4 linked regions of the Caenorhabditis elegans genome follow. The protein of the gene in region 3 interacts with the protein of the main gene of each other region in a pairwise test. Each region holds a gene or a part of one and is shown on either strand. Other genes may lie near its edges.

The links.
Region 1: the proteins of mes-6 (region 3) and F25H8.2 interact in a two-hybrid assay, tested with the Caenorhabditis elegans proteins (one large-scale study listed by BioGRID).
Region 2: the proteins of mes-6 (region 3) and K12H4.5 interact in a two-hybrid assay, tested with the Caenorhabditis elegans proteins (one large-scale study listed by BioGRID).
Region 4: the proteins of mes-6 (region 3) and rfc-3 interact in a two-hybrid assay, tested with the Caenorhabditis elegans proteins (one large-scale study listed by BioGRID).

What each region holds. Positions count from the first base shown.
Region 1 is NC_003282.8:9,930,558-9,934,854, reverse strand, and holds F25H8.2 (H/ACA ribonucleoprotein complex non-core subunit NAF1), read right to left. Parts: upstream 2,621-4,297; 5' UTR 2,503-2,620; coding exon 2,458-2,502; intron 2,416-2,457; coding exon 2,035-2,415; intron 1,986-2,034; coding exon 1,877-1,985; intron 1,821-1,876; coding exon 1,675-1,820; intron 1,628-1,674; coding exon 1,384-1,627; intron 1,339-1,383; coding exon 1,091-1,338; 3' UTR 976-1,090; downstream 1-975. Other genes in the region: spe-29 (uncharacterized protein), read right to left, coding at 645-662, 707-803, 860-945; trmt-10A (tRNA (guanine(9)-N(1))-methyltransferase), read left to right, coding at 2,720-2,780, 2,827-3,023, 3,137-3,292, 3,339-3,608, 3,656-3,865.
Region 2 is NC_003281.10:8,042,014-8,045,280, forward strand, and holds K12H4.5 (uncharacterized protein), read left to right. Parts: upstream 1-2,473; coding exon 2,474-2,767; downstream 2,768-3,267. Other genes in the region: K12H4.6 (uncharacterized protein), read right to left, coding at 564-679, 733-862; spcs-3 (Signal peptidase complex subunit 3), read left to right, coding at 3,022-3,164, 3,264-3,267.
Region 3 is NC_003282.8:8,508,940-8,514,027, forward strand, and holds mes-6 (Polycomb protein mes-6), read left to right. Parts: upstream 1-2,344; 5' UTR 2,345-2,497; coding exon 2,498-2,692; intron 2,693-2,746; coding exon 2,747-2,977; intron 2,978-3,017; coding exon 3,018-3,191; intron 3,192-3,235; coding exon 3,236-3,420; intron 3,421-3,603; coding exon 3,604-3,684; intron 3,685-3,762; coding exon 3,763-4,122; intron 4,123-4,233; coding exon 4,234-4,387; 3' UTR 4,388-4,483; downstream 4,484-5,088. Other genes in the region: FYVE, RhoGEF and PH domain-containing protein tag-77, read right to left, coding at 248-462, 1,460-1,601; C09G4.4 (uncharacterized protein), read left to right, coding at 4,484-4,538, 4,594-4,648, 4,701-4,827; cks-1 (Cyclin-dependent kinases regulatory subunit), read left to right, coding at 5,011-5,088. UniProt on the Caenorhabditis elegans protein: Polycomb group (PcG) protein. PcG proteins act by forming multiprotein complexes, which are required to maintain the transcriptionally repressive state of homeotic genes throughout development.
Region 4 is NC_003282.8:13,093,650-13,097,580, forward strand, and holds rfc-3 (Replication factor C subunit 3), read left to right. Parts: upstream 1-2,112; 5' UTR 2,113-2,119; coding exon 2,120-2,295; intron 2,296-2,339; coding exon 2,340-3,051; intron 3,052-3,112; coding exon 3,113-3,289; 3' UTR 3,290-3,431; downstream 3,432-3,931. Other genes in the region: prcc-1 (Proline-rich protein PRCC), read right to left, coding at 42-107; C39E9.12 (SAP domain-containing protein), read left to right, coding at 362-496, 541-691, 738-1,475, 1,525-1,730; dli-1 (Dynein light intermediate chain), read right to left, coding at 3,467-3,601, 3,649-3,879, 3,930-3,931.

The sequences.
Region 1 (4,297 bases), 1.4 Mb from region 3:
CCTTTTTTTCTAATCAAATATTGAAATTCGCTGAATTGTGAGATATATGGGGGCAATTTAGACATTCTTGAACAAAGTTTCTGAACAAAAAAGAAGCGGAAACTGTTTAAAATTTCTCGATATGTATATCCATCAATTTTGCGAATCGCTGAAGTTTGATTTTCCTGATCGATGTTTGCTCCTGTCCTAACTTCGCTAAGTAATTTAGTCTTATCGCAGGAGAATCTTTTTTGTTTTTATTTTTTAATTTGTTCAGTTCAATTACATACTCATTATAGCCTGAGCTTTAAATCTTTCCTTATTTCCAGTTGTTTTCTTTTTTTGCTTTCCTTGTTTTCTATGTTTCAAAAATCCTTGTTTTCCTATTATACTGCCTTTCCTTTTTTCACTTTTCCAACCCACCCGCTGCTTTCCTTCTTCCAGTTAATCTTTTTTTATTAATTGTTTTTTTTAGATATTCTAATTTTCAGCCAGCTTCTTCCTGCCGTTCCTTTCTTTTCTCTTTTTTTCTCTATTCCACTTTACCCACAAGTTTTTCATAGCACTGCATAATATTTATTAAACTTTAGTCAATTCAAATATTTTATTAAAATAGAGTAATAGAGCCTCGCCTTCTTCTGAACGTTATAATAAAAATATAAAATTCAATCGTGAAGTTTACGCTGAAAGAAAACATACAAAAATTAGAATTACTCGTGAAGCTTACTCGAATAACTTTTGGAAATATTCCAAACCATCCGAAAAATATGACTCCGACGAGAAGAACTGAGAAAGCAATCAAAGAAATTCCCCCAATAAGATCACTGAAAAAATACGATTTCCAGAGCATAGCTCACAGCTGCGAAGAATTTGAACTCACAGAGCCATTCCATAACAAATTGGACCATTTTCCCAGCTGCAGATGAACCAAATTCGGTTTCCGTTGTGAGTATGACTATTCGTCATTTTGATATTATAGCAATTTATGATTTTAAAATGTAAAAATGAAGTTTATTCACGCGTCAATTCCAAAAGTGCAACAATAACAACGAAAAAATGTTACAATATATCCAACAAAGTATTCAATGTGTAACGATATTTTAACAAAAAATTAAATTCCAAAACGTCCGTTGAATCCAGAATGACATCCGAATTCGGCATATGGATTTGATTCGGTTGATTGTGCTGGACGAGCAGGTGGCGGTGGCGCAGATGGCTGCTGAGGGATGGGCCCAAGATTATCCGATCTGGCAGGTGGATTCTGAGCAGAAAATCTAACTTTTTGTCCTCCGCGGCGATCTCGTTTTCGCCCTCTGTTCGAATCGAATCCTCTTGACATTTGACTAGCTGGTTGGGTATCTGAAAATTACTAGAATTTGAAAGTAAATTTCAATTATATCTTACATGTGGTGCGTTTAAATTCTTTCTCCGCTTCATCATCACTGAACTCCACGTCACTACCGATGCCAACCTGAGCCATCGTTTCACCAGCTTTTGCAACAGCTTCTTGATGATCAATGCGACGATTTAGGGATTTAATAGCATCCCTATTTGCTGCAGCAAGATTAAGTCCTTTGAATGGAGTTTTGGAAAATTGTTCTTCTGTAGGAGCATAATATACTTTCATGTCAATGGGTATCATCGATGCCTATAAAACTTCTGTTATATATTTTATTTGTCTACTAAAAGCTTCACCTCTTCACAAGAATTGAATCGAATAACGTATTGTGGATTTTTGACTTGTCCAAAAATGTCATAAATTTGTCCCAACGCATTTCCTTTTTGATCGAAAAGAAATGAATCGAAGTCGAGAACTTCTGTGCATGTTGAAATGATAACAACTGAAATACCAATTCAATTAACATTTTATATAAGGTTGACATTTTTGACAATTTACCTTGACAATCCACGACTTTGCTTACAAAACCAAATTCCAGCAATTGTCCTTTACATTCAATACTGAGATTCTCGAGTGGTGGCATATCATCATACTCGTGAACATTACGCTAGAAATCTAATCATTCGAAAAAACATTTCAAAATAATGAAACCTTACCGTTTTTTGTGACTTTTTTGGCTTCCGCTGCTTTTTTCCATTTTCATCCGGGTACTCTGACTTGTGTGTCTTCTCAATAATCTTTGCGGAAAACTTTACTAGCCTGTCAAACTCTTCATCAGAATCAAGTGCACCGGCTCGTAAATCGTTGATATTTTCGAAATCGCTATCATCTCCAGAAAACTCAAATTCACTTTCAGTGTCGCATCCGAAGCTTTTCAATGATGGAGCCTGGCGAATTTCAGTAGGATTCACAACGGTGATAGGATCAACAAGATCCAAAAGTTGATCGACGATTCCATCTTCTGTCTTCATTCCAATTTTTGCGGGAAGTGTTGGTCGAGCACAGAAAGCAAGTGGCACAGGATTTCGATCGATAGTCTAAAATATGGAATATTTTTGGAATTTAAAAGGAAAACATACAATTGAATCATCCAGATTTTCGACTTTAATTGTTTCTTCCTCCATTCTTGATAATATTTTTGCAATGAGTGTAAATAAAAGAATTAACCTAAAAACGAAATAAATTTTTTAATTGAAAAAATTTTTGACGCGAAATCGGAGTGTCGTTTGTTAGTTTGTCATTGGAGCATGTTTGCATTTCACTGATTTCTCTCATTTTTTTTTTTGAAAACATTAAAAAATATATTCTAAATATCATTTTGGCATCTTTAAGTGGAAAATTATGTCGGAGGAAACAATCGAAAAATTTGAAGATAATGTGGAGCATCAAAATCAAGACCAACGTGAGTTTTCCGTTGCATCAGTATGTATTGAATTATAATATTCCAGCAGTACCAGAGGGAATGTCGAAAAAGCAACTGCGACGTCAAAAATACAAGGTGAAATGGGAAGAAAAGAAGTTAGTCAAACGTGCAGCGGAAAGAATTCGAAAAAAGGAAAAACGAGCAGCGCTGAAAGAATCGGGAGATCTTTCAAAGTTGAGGAAACGAAAAGATTTCAGAACAATGGCTCAGTCTAATAGCAAGGTAATATACGATTCCAGTAATTTGTTTAACATTAACTTTTGAACATTCATACAGTAAAAATGTTTTCAACTGGTAAAATCTGACAATTTCCTTAGACTAAAACAACTTTTTAGCAACGAATTGCTTTGGACATGTCATTTGACGATTTGATGATTGAAAAGGATCAAAAACGTACAGTTCAGCAAATCGGATGGTGTTATACTGCGAACAGACACAGTCCTGATCCATTTCAATTTCATGTTGTGGGGTTCGATGGACCATCGAGAAAAGTAATTTTGTTTTCGCACAACAAGTGTTTTAATTGGTTTTGTTGAGATTTATGATGGTAATGAGCACAACCTGAATCAAGACATCCATCTTCACCAAGAAAAATTGGAAAATTTATTTAAACCAGAGGAAATAGTTTATTTGACTTCTGAATCTGAAAATGTCCTGAGCGATCTTGATGATACGAAAGTGTATGTAATTGGAGGAATTGTGGATCATAATTCTCAAAAAGGATTGTGCTATCGAATCGCTCAAGAAAAAGGATTTGGTCATGCAAAATTGCCTTTAGATGAACATCTTCTCATGAAATCTCGACGGGTAATCGGTTTCCATATTTTTGTCCCATAATATTCTTCTGATTTCAGGTACTCACTATCAATCAAGTCTATGAAATTCTGGTTCATTACTCTGTTCACAAAAACTGGAAAGATGCTCTTCTTTCAATTATTCCAGAACGGAAGAATGCTCAATTGAAAGAGGAAGTTGTGGAAGAAAAGCCAGAAAGCCTAGAAGAAATTGGAAAATTAGACACAGAATCCACCGATACTGCCACGGGCTCTCCTAAAATAAATTAATCATTTTCATATTTTAAAATTACACCCAAATGTTGTTATTATTTGTTAACCATTTTCGTTATTTTTTATTGCTTATGAATTTTTCAAAATCAATTCGGATAATATATTGACTACACAACCAGCAATTATAGAACAATTTCGCTCTTTTTGAATGGCATGATTCCCGCCCAATCCGGATTTCAATCTCGTTTTCCATACATTTTCAAAGGCTTGGCAGATTGATGTTCCGTTCCGTCGGTTTTTCACTTTTTCATATTTTTAGATTGCTTCAAGTAAATATTTGTTTTGAGAGAAGGAGTTCAACTTTCAGGATTTTTTTTATTTTTTATATTGTAATTTCACAAGATTTTGGCATGCTTTTTTAAAGGCACACGGATTTGTTCAGATGGGTCTCGGGGCGCAAAAAAATTTATGGTAGTTTTTTTGCAACTG
Region 2 (3,267 bases), on a different chromosome or scaffold from region 3:
CTAGAGCCAAATGACCATAATAAACTCTTTTCATTTCATAGTAAACAAATTTCTAGACATTAAAAAAAACCACGATGTAATCTGGAAACTCTTACGCCACCGTACCACTACAGTAACCCAACAGTATCCTTCCACTAACTCCAACTCAGTATCCCATCAAAAGAAAACAACTGAAACTTACTTGCACTACTCGAAAATTATACATAAATTTTTTCATATCTAGAAAAGTCTAGAATATACTAGGACATAATAGAACATATTGAGCTTATTTACAGATGCAGAGGCTTTTTAAGAGGGAAGCAATCACGAAACGTCCTCTTGGAAATCAATGCTGCCGGATTGACAGATCTCAAATTGTAGGCACTGACGGCTCAAAATGCTTAGACATGTTTAAGCTCGATCTTAGCTTGAATCCATGCCAATCAATAGACTTGTTTATACACGTCTGAGATTAAATGCATGACATCAGATCATCTCTCTGATTCAGATGAGAGAGAGCTGACCAAATACACTTCCTTCAATAAGACACCATTTACTATTGATCAAAGATTTATTACCAGTTATCAATGTGAGCAGCAATTGCATCCGCAACCGGTGACGGCTGTGGTTGTCGACGCTCCAGTTGTAGCTCCTCCAATAGTGGCCGTTGTGCTGGATCCAGTTGGGGTCATTGTCGATGCTAAAAAAGAATTTCCGTCCAAACTCAAACTAAAAGAAAATACTGAAATTTACCGGTAGGAGCTGCGGTTGAAACTGCAGCAGGTGGGGCGGTTGCCATGCCAGTTCTGGCCTTAACGAACTTTCCCTTTGAATCGCGCTGACGAGCTCCCTGTCGTTTAAATTGTTGTTTCGATTGAGGCATCGTAAATAGTACTGATTTTATTTGAAAATCGAAAGCGAAATTATTTGCTGATGACCTTTTGAGATAAGAGATAGACCCGGTCAAATTTGGAATGTTTCAGGTGCTTTTTGTTTTGGTGTGGTTTTTTAAAAACTCAACTGTTCTAACGAGGAACAAAATGAAATCGATCCATTAAAAATCGAATAGTAAAATATTTACAGTATCCGTTTAAAGGCACACTATTGAAGCTTTGAATCATTGAATTTCCAATACTTCCTGTCAACAATCTTTCGTAGAGTCTGTATAACTGCGAAGTCTGGCTTATCGGACGGAAACAGGAGTGTGCGGCAACTTGACCTCTATGCCTACTAGGCAACCTGCACCTGTCCATGTGCCTATAAGGCAGCCTACGCATACCTTCTTGTCTACAGGACAACTTTCGGCTACCTACGTTAATTCTGAAAGGACTGGAGAGAAATAAAAAATAGATAAAATTTGAGTGAATAAAGCTTTCAGAATTTAGGCATACCTCCTTGCCTATAATGCAACCTATGCCTGTTTGTGTTCCTACAACTCTGATGAATACTTTTTCATACTTCTATGAGTTTAAGAATAAAATACGGGAATCTGTAAGCATTGTACAAAATTTACATTAATTAATTACTCTATATTTTCTACATATTAGTGATGCATCTCCATTAGTACTTCAGTCTCTAATAATGCGTCTTCCCAAGAGTCACCTCTACAGTTTCGACATTTTGGGTAGGATTTTTTATTTTTTGGCTAAGCCCCCTAAGCAGCCCATATATAGTAAAATATCAAGTAGTGAAACAGTATTTGCCCAAAAAATGTGGTGGCGGTAGCGCGGTGTTATTTAAAAGAACTCTTAATTTGACAATATATAAATAACGAAATGGCTTTGTGTTGGAGCAGGATTATACTAGCCCAACTCGGAGAATAATAAATTATTCGAAATTTTCAAACTATAATTGTTTTTTTAACAAATATTATAAAACACAGAAAATGATAATTGACAATTACGATTCTCGTCCAGCCGTGTTTCCCAATTTCTCTTTCCATGAGGTCTCTCTCTCACGAATCGCTATTCTCTTTTTCGCGATGTCTCAGCTTGCGCATTTCGTGGATAGTTCTACTGACACATTTCTCGTAACTGGCGCATTTCTCGACTCTATTACGCGTATTTATTTTTCGTATTTTGCAACGTTTTCTTATAATTTTAAAGCCATTTGCTTTCAAATTTATGTATTTCAGTCATCGAAAATTATTAGAATATTGTAGCCAAACAGAAATATTATAATCAATCTAAAAATATACGTTTAATTCGTTTGGCTCTTTGAAGGCAGAAGTGACAGAATACAATTAAGTTAAATACGTTTAATCGGATTAAGTTTTCTTCAAAGATTACACTGAATATGTGAAATCATTTATTGATTTAGTAATATCGTTTTGTTTTTGTCTTCTCTGAACAATTAACCCGTTCCACCTCGTATTAAATTAATTAATTTATAATGTGATCCTTTTTTTGGCATGTCGATTCATTATGATATAACTTACTAATTTCCGAGACTTTCTTGCTTTATTTTTGGCATTATTAGAGGATGTTACAGGGTGATGATCAAGTACCACGTGTCGCGAAGCGCCCGACTCTGGGCTTACTGGAGCACCCTGCCACATCGAATGCTCAAGAAATACCCGGAGCAAACTATCTTCTACGCGACTTTCGGAGTAGCCACACTATTGATTGGCGGATATAAAATGAAGAAGTACTTGACAGAAAGTGATAAGCCATTCTACCGCGGATACTACGACGTCGTCCGTTCCAACGACCCAATCGCACAAAATTGGAGAAAACCAGAAGAATATCCAGCACCGTATCTTCTTTCAAGTGTTGAGACAGCTCATTGATCAATCGTCCAAAATAATCAACGAGAAGCCAATAAGTCGTAGACGATTTTCGATTTTCACTGTAAATTGGACACATTCGGTGTTTTATTTTTTAGAAGAGTTTTTAAAATGTAAATGAAAGTTTTCCTTTTTAAAATTTGTTTTCATTTGTCTACTGAAGTGTTTCAGCCACAACAATTATATTTTCTATATGTATTTATATTAATTTTATTTTTCATTTTTATCCAAAGTTTCAGGCTGATTCGAGCTCAAAGATGCACAATCTTCTGTCTCGTGCTAACGCACTCCTAGCGTTCACTCTTTGGGTGATGGCCGCAGTCACAGCAGCTTGTTTCCTGTCAACAGTTTTCCTCGACTACACTGTTCCAACCAAGCTCACTGTCAACGATGTCAAAGTGTAGGTTTTATAAGAGAAATAAAAAAATTGCGAAATTCTTTCAAGCGTTTCTCCGAAAACATTTTAAACGTATTTCTGTAAATCTTATTCCATTTTCAGGAGA
Region 3 (5,088 bases):
TAGATGAGAGTTCGGGGGGTGACAGTCGGTTCTTTTTTACAAAAAAGTGCTTGAAAAGAATACTTAGCAATAAAACTTTTTGAAAATGGGGACACGATCGGGGGCACAAGCTCTATTTGCACATCTGCCCAATTGAGAGCTCATCACTTTTTTCATAATAATGTGACAGACGATTTGGTTAACTTTTTCCAGTATGGGAAGACCTTTTTTATTTTTCATAAAAATATTATTTAATTTAAAATCTCACCAATCCATTCAGAAATAATGGTTTTGGAGCAACAGTTGGCTTTGGTCCAAGACTTCGTCTCGTTGTATTTGGCGTAATCAATTCCTGCGGTTCTTCAGGAATATTTTCGGACGATTCTGAAGAAGACGGCGGTCGAATTGTATTCTCATCGTCTGGAGGTGGAGATAATGATGCAGGTTTCCGATGAGGAGGCGGTGGTGGAGCTCGTCTTGGGGCTGCAAAATTGTTTTAAAAATGAATCTTCCAATCTGTTAACCTCATAGGTATATTTAAACTATCTAATTGCTGTAATTGTATCTGCTTCACTCATTTTGAGAGATGATAAAATAATTGTTTTTCTTTCAATAAATGAGTCATACCACTAGGCACACACAGTGGCAGACGGAAAATTGGTCACTTCCGGGGGGTGGAACAATAATACCAACAGAAGTTAAATAGTGAATATATTTTTGGCAAGTGTTCACACAAGAATGACTATTTTAATCAAATGTTGGCGATAATCCAAGTAATTAATATAAGGACACAACCCAATTTTCTAAAATTTATTACTAGTACACTTCTTGGCGACAAAGGAGTAAAATCTGTCAAGTGGCACCTTTAGGCAAACAATATTGCGAAAAGCCTTTATACTTCTTTTTGACTACTTTCGCAATCGGTCACGCGTCTGTACAGATTTGATAGGAACTTTGAAGAAAATTGGGCATTTTTCGTTAACAAAAAGCAATAGGAAGAAGAACAGTCAAAAAACAATTTTAACACGGAAATCAGTTGTTCTACGATATTGTAAAAGTTAATAGAAAAAAAAATGATAGTAACAAAATATTTATGAATTTTCGTCTAGATTCTAACAACGAATATATAAATTGAAATGAGAACTTAATTTCCTTTAAAAATTAATTCGATTCACTGTTGGTGGAGTTTAAGGCAGATTTTTTTTTCGAAAAATTGACTGTTTTTTTTAACTCACAGAATCATTGTCAACCCGATTTTCGGTTCTCTCTTTTTCAATACTATGATCATATGATCTATTTAGTTATTATCAATAAATACAGACATAAATAGTTTTTAAAAAAATTATTTTTTAGTTTTTTTTTTCAAGAAATTTCGTAACTTTTATTTTCTCCACAGATAACAAAGCAAACGAAGTTTTTTGCTACGCCTCAATCAATTGTCGACAGTAAATACAAGACGTCTTCTCTGTTTCAGACTCACAAGGTGGCGGTGGTGGTTGCTTCCGGAATCTGTTGTCTCCGTCGTCCAGTTTATTTTGAAACTCTGCCATCATTTCTTTGACGGTCCTAGACGCCGGTGGAGTATCATCAGAATTTTTGCGATGGTTCATGTCATATTTCATACAGGCGATCTGAAAATAACTATAGCTCGTTCGAGATAACATTTTGGCTAAAAAATTGAAGAAAAAACGATAACACTAAAATATTATGAAATTAAGAATTAGTAATGAACGGGAACAGTCACAGCATGAGAAAAAGGCAACCGCTAGAAGAACAGGTTGAAGCAACAAAAAATCACACAAGACGCAGAGAATCAGGCATTGGAGACGCAGGGATATGGATGAGTCAGCAGCCGACGAAGACAAATTCGAAATAGCAAAAATGAAAGAAGTCTACGGAATTCACAAAGTGGATCTTTTGATATAAGGACAATTTTACTAAATAATAAATATGAATGAATACCCCCAAGTTGATCGCTCTGAAATCTGAAAAAGACCACAAAAACATTTTTTTTAACTGACAATAGCTCACGTAGCAATATAGGATCATACAAAAAAAATATACAAAATTATTAGTTTCGCTCCTTGCGAAAAAAGCCGAGTACAAAATCTACTTAATCCCGTTCGAATCCACTCCGAAATTGGAAGTGGTACTTCACGACAATACAAAATTTAAGCTGGCAACTGTCTTTTCTATCATATTCCCAATCGAAATCACAAATACCTCCCGGAACTTTCGAACAGAATCCAAAATGAGAACAAAAAATTGTAATAAAAAAATAACACTTTAAAGGTGCATGAGGTTATGCGCTCGTTGGGTCTCGCCGCGCTTTTCACCACTAATGCAATTTGAACGAGAAATGCGCGCGAGCGGCCATATTTTAGTTTTTCTGTTGTTTTTATTGTCATTTTTTTCCTTTTTCACTGCAAATTTGATAGTTAATCGACTTTTTTATGTTTTTACTGTGAAGTTTTTATTTTGTTATATATTGTTTCTTGCCTTTTTCCCAAAAACCTGAATGGAGCACACGAAAAAGTTCAAATCATTAAATCTTCACGGGTTTGATCGAAGTACAGAGGATTACGGAAAACGACCTTTTGTACTAACTGCCAAGCTACTTGAAGATCAGAAGAAAGCTATTTACGGATGTGCATTCAATCAATACGCAGGAATAGATGAGGAACAAGCGGTTGCAACTGTCGGAGGAAGCTTTGTAAGCGTTATTTAGCAGGAAACTGACAATGAGGTATAAATATTTGTTTTTCAGCTTCACATGTATTCTGTTCCCATCGACATAAATAACATTGAGCTGCAGTGGTCTTGTAATTTTCCTACCGATAAATCATCAAAGGTCGAACGAGAGGAGTCGCTCTTCACTGTTACCTGGTGTTACGACACATATGAAGCTGAAAACGACCGAAATCCCTTTAAAGTTGTAACGGGTGGAACTTTGGGTCACATTTACGTTATCGACTACGTCTCGAGGAAGCTGTCGAATGTAAATAATCAAAAATTACTGAAATAATTTGGAGTTTTAGCGTCTTCGGAGTGTTGGATGGGAAATCAATGACATTCGTACGTGTCCTGCCAACTCAAATCTGATTGTCTGTGCTTCATCAGATCAATCTATCCGGATTCATCATATTCGAAACGAAGCATGTCTGATTGTTATTGGGGGTCTCGAGTGTCATGCTGGAACAATTCTTTCTGTGGTTGGTTTATTAAATTTACTTACGTTTCGAATTTCTCATTTTAGGATTGGTCAACCGACGGAGACTTCATTTTATCGTGTGGATTCGATCATCAACTCATGGAGTGGGATTTATCTGTGAAACAAGTAAAGGAACATTTGGAACGAGCGTGCAAAGCTCTTCACCAAGATAAAATAAATGTGCTAACACAATCACAAGATATTCCGTATGTTTCGAAAGGAACAATGAGGTAAATCAATTATTCAGCTAACATTTTCTAGTTCCTTCTAGTATTTGATCAGTCCTTAACGCGAAAATTGTTGCTGTTGTTGTATATAAAAATATTTTTGAAACTTGAGTTTTGGATAAAAGACTGGTAAATAAAGAGACCAGGGCTATCAAATCATAATGTAATTCATTTTTGTATTTTTAGAAAGTCTGCAGTTTCTCGCAACATTCCCGACAAAGAAGAAGATCAATTGCTCGAACTTCACAGAGAGCTCATACCCCGACCGTACGTTGATTTTCGGCATCCATTACTTTTTTAAAGTTGTTTCAACGAATCTGGTTCTATCGTTTTCTTCTTTTTCAGGAGCTGCCTTCTTCCAATTTATACTCCATCCTCCGTATCAACTGATATGCATTCTGATTATGTGGATTGCATTCGATTTCTTATCGGTACTAACTACGCACTATCAAAAGGATGTGGCAATGAAAAGGCAATTCATTTTTGGAGATTTGGGCCACCTAAGGGAGAAGTTGAAAATCGCATTCATGGAAATGTTCTCCGTCCAAAGTCGTGTACAACGAAATTTCGTACAATGAATGTTCCGAGTGGTTCTGCATGGTTTATCAAATTCGCCGTTGATCCAAGAAGACGATGGCTGGTGTGCGGTGGAGCTGGTGGTTCTGTGATGTTTTTCGATTTGAGAAATAATGAAGAAACCAATCCGTAAGTAAAATATCAAGAAAAATAATTTCTGAGATGTTCGATATCTCTTAAAAATTATAGAAATATTTTTGCTGTGATTACCAGTATAAATTCCTGTTTTTTTTTTTACAGGACTCACACTTGTTCCGTTGGCTCACGTACAGTTCGGCAAGCTTCTTTCTCTACATGTGGCCGATTCCTAGTACTAGTAACTGACGAAGGATTTGTTTGTCGATTTGATCGTGTATCTGCGTCTGTCGACGCTAAGGACCTGGCAAAATTTTGAATATCATTCCTTCTCACCTTCAATTTTTTATATCTCGTTGTGATTTCATCTTCGATCATCTTCAGTGGATTTTACATTACAATTTTGCAGTTCCTAATGTCATCCCCAACCTCCTCTAAGGATTATTCTTCACCTAAACATAGCTTTATGTGTGAGTTTCGAAGAGATTATTTTCGTTTTCTGATTATCTAATTTTTCTAATTCAGTGACAGTCGACAGCAACTTACAAAGTGACAAAAAGAAGACGTTTTTGAATGTTCAGTGAGTTTTGAAAATTTTATTAGCTTTCATGTTATTACCTTTTTTATTTCAGATCATCTTCCTCTGCTGGGTCAACCAAGCACTGTCAAATTCCAATGTCAAAGGACGAGTATTTTGAAACACGCGGGAAACTCGACTCTGTTGATGTTATCGATCAATTCAGACAGCGTCAGCAATGAGCATTTATCGATTTGTCTGTACATGCAGTGTTCCTCACCATTCTCACTCTTGTCTCATTCCCATTCTTCTCTTTTTTTTCAATATTTTTTATTCTTTCCTTATTTTTGTCCGTTTCTATTTCCCGATGCTTGTTAATAAAATGAATTATTTCAGAGTCGCACCTTCTCACGCCAACCAACAAAATGACAACTGGAAACAATGATTTCTACTATTCAAACAAATACGAAGATGATGAGTTCGAGTACCGTCACGTTCATGTC
Region 4 (3,931 bases), 4.6 Mb from region 3:
TCGAAAATGTTTTCAAACTGAATAAAGAATAATTTGCTTACTTTTTGTTGTGTTTCCATTTCTTCATCACTTTCTGATTCACTTCCTGCGTAATCCACAAGGCCCATTTTGAGAAGAATTCTTCGAAGAAACGAATAATTTCAGACGAAATAAACAATACGAATATTGATTTCTTTATTCGAGAGGACTACACACAATAAGAAAGCAACAGCGCTCCAACGTACACCGCGCGAAAAACACAATTTTTCAAACAGCGATGGAGGGAAATTTCTTGAGTCCTATTTTGTTTCTTGTTCATTTGTTCCTTGTTTCATTTGCTTTTCTGTTCTCACTATTCAATAAAAATAATAATTTCAGTAAAATGTCAGCCAAAAATAAAGAGCTCGCCGAAGAGGACGTGCTCAACATGACATGCGACAAGCTTCGCAAGGAGTTAAAGAAGAAAAGGGCTTCGACTGCGGGAAAGAAATCGGAACTTCAATCGCGTCTTTTGGAGGTTTGAACTCAGTCGAAACAATGTGATTAATTTAACTTTTTCAGTTTCTCGCTGGCCAAAATAATGCCGGAAACGGGGAGGCAATCAGGGAAGAGCCGGAAGCCGAGGCTATGGACACCGACGAAGCACCTGCCAATCGCACATTCACAGTTGAAGAGGAAGAAGAAACTGAGAATACTACTGGCAGATTTGTTCGTAAGTTATATTCCATTTAGTTGAAATTTAAACAGCTTTATTACAGACGAGAATACTCCGACAAATGCGGTTGCTGTCGTTTTGGATGATGACTTGAGAAACCGTCTCTGTGGCAGTTTGGGAATCGATCTGCAAAGCTTCGAGGTGAAGTCACGCCCGAGAGTTCATCGTCTTTCGACAAGACTGTCTCTCCGCGCTAGTTCGTCGACTCCTCAAACATCTGAGCGACCAGGAATGCCGATCGAGAACAGAGGAATTACGCCAGTTCGTCAGCGTGCTCCATCCAGTGGAAGAGACAGATTCGCAATGATTCATGCAAGAGAGATGGAAAAAGAAGAAACACTCGGAGAGCGTCAAGAACGATTGAAGAAACGACACGAATTCATGACCGGCGACGTCCCAGAAGCTATCAGGAGACTTGCTACCCCGAAAAGTGTGCCAAGACGTGACCCAGTTGATAGATCAACTACAAGATCTGCTGCGCGCAATTGGCAAGTTCAGGATCCTGAGAAAATGTCCTTCCAATTCGGGGATAAATCTGCTGATGATTTTCCCGCTCTTGTCAGCTCACGAGCTGGCTGCTCATCGTCATCTGCTGCCACCACCTCTACCAAAAAGACAAAGTCCGTTGCAAGATCTCATGTGGACGTGAAGAAGCTCACCAAGTCACAAATCCCGAAACCATGCCGTTTAACTTCTCGAAAAATCATTCCTGCAACTGTCCCAGAAGATGATACATTCACCGAGTACATTTCCACGCCAAAAGGAACCACTCCAACTAGAGGTAACTATTCATATTTATCTTTTTTTCGCTAATTCATAGCAATTTTTAGTTCCACGACGTGCTGGTTACACACCACACTCTACGAGAAAAGTGTTCGTCGACACGACTCAATTGACGGATCGCGAGTTCACTTTGGCACTGGAGGAAGGATTAATCCCCGGAAGAGCTGCCACGAACCTCGAGAAACAACAAGTGGAGAACAAGAAGCGCCGTGACGACATTATCGCACTCAAGCGTAAAATGAATATCAAGTAGATATCTCAATTATTTTCTTATTTATCTTCACTCACTCGTCTCACTAGGCTAAACCTGTAAAATATTTCGTTGTTGACTTGTCGAGTTTCTGAAAATGAATTCTTTTAATTTATTACAATTCTCTTTATTTATTTTCTATTTATTTATTCCTCTATTCAATTGTTTGCGACAATTGTGATATCTTTGAATATGTCTTTTAATTTTTTTAGCAAGAAATATACGGTGGATCCGGATTCCCGAAGCGCAATTCGCGGCACGGTTTAATTTTTTAATTTACCATAAAAGCGCGTGCCGCGGAATTACTTTTCGGGTTCCACCTTCTATTTCTCGCGCTTATTTTGGACTTTAATTACTCTGACAATATAATATTAATCTTTTCTAGTGCAAAAATGGCGTTGTGGGTGGACAAATATCGACCAAAGGACTTGTTGGGAAAGGATGGCGTTGATTATCACATCGAGCAGGCCAATCATTTGAAGTTTCTCTCCGCAGACTGTATGCCGCATCTCTTGTTCTGTGGTCCCAGTGGAGCTGGAAAAAAGACACGGATCAAGTGTCTGTTGAGGTTTAATTATTGGTAAATTCAGTAAATAAAATAATATTTTTCAGAGAGCTTTACGGTGTTGGAGTCGAGAAAACGCAGCTCATCATGAAGTCGTTCACTAGTCCGTCGAATAAAAAACTTGAAATACAGACTGTCTCGAGCAATTATCACATCGAAATGACGCCGTCTGATGTTGGAATCTATGATCGAGTTGTTGTGCAGGATCTCGTTAAAGAAATGGCACAAACGTCTCAAATCGAATCAACTTCTCAAAGATCGTTCAAAGTTGTCGTTCTTTGTGAAGCGGACTCACTGACTCGTGATGCTCAACACGGACTTCGTCGAACTATGGAGAAGTACGCGAATAACTGTAAAATCGTTTTGAGCTGTGAATCCCTGTCCCGTATCATTGAGCCACTTCAATCTCGTTGCATCATCATCAATGTGCCAGCTCCAACCGATGAAGATGTGACCAAAGTCTTGCGGAAAGTGATTGAACGGGAGAGCTTTCTACTTCCGGAGAACGTTTTGCAAAAGATTGTGGAGAAGTCTGAAGGAAATCTGAGAAGAGCTATTCTGATGACTGAGGCTTTAAGAATGGAGAACGAGAGTGGTGTGGCTGAAAGTGTAGTAATTCCGGTTCCGGAATGGGAGATTTATATCCAAGAGACTGCTCGTCTGATCCTCCAGAAACAGAGCTCCGATATGCTTCTGAAAGTTCGCGAACGATTGTACGAATTGCTCTCCAGATGTATTCCACCAACTGTCATTTTTAAGGTGAGTTATAAGCACACAAATAGTATAAAATGTTCAAAAATATTTAGAAATACATTTTCAGAAACTTCTCGAGCATCTCCTTCCCAAATGTCCGCCACAAATTGCACGTGAAGTTGTCAGTGAAGCAGCGAAATTCGAGCATCGCCTTGTTCTCGGACAAAAAGCAATTTTCCATCTTGAAGGATTCGTCGCCGCTTTCATGGACATTTACCTTACTAATGCTTCTAAACCCAAGTGATCTCTGTCCCCGCGTATTATATTATTCTACTTTTGTGTAATCATAAACTTGAAACGAACTACATTATGGTTGTGTGGGTATTTACAGAAACAGCATATAATAAAAATCGTATCGCAAAGGAGAATAAAATGACCGGCGATAAAGCTTAAAATATTTAAATAGATTATGAAAATGACGTTATGCATCACTGTCCCGGGGTTGAGGTTTCGGGCTTTGCGCAGACTTCAGAAGACGATCGAGTTGGGCCTGGGTGGCTGCGGCATCCATCGGCTGGGAAACAGTGGAAGGAGAGCTCACCTTGCTCGGCTTGTCCTGAAATATGGAAATTCACATAGAAAAAAGATCTAAGATTGATTTACCTTATTGAGCAAGTTGGAGAAGAAATTGGCGAGTGGACTGTCCTTATCGGTAGGCTCTTCTTGCATAGTCCTCGGCTTGGGAGCGGCCGTAGTGGTTGAAGTTGCCAGGATGTCCATCAACTTCTTCAAGAAAGCCTGATCTTCCTCGGCTTCGATGAGCTGCTCTTTTGCGACAGGTCTAAGCTTATCGCGAGTCGGCTCTAAAGCTGAATCCACATCCGGAATAGACTCCTGAAATTAATCATGAACTCGGATTCTCCAATTACTTATGTAAAACTTACAC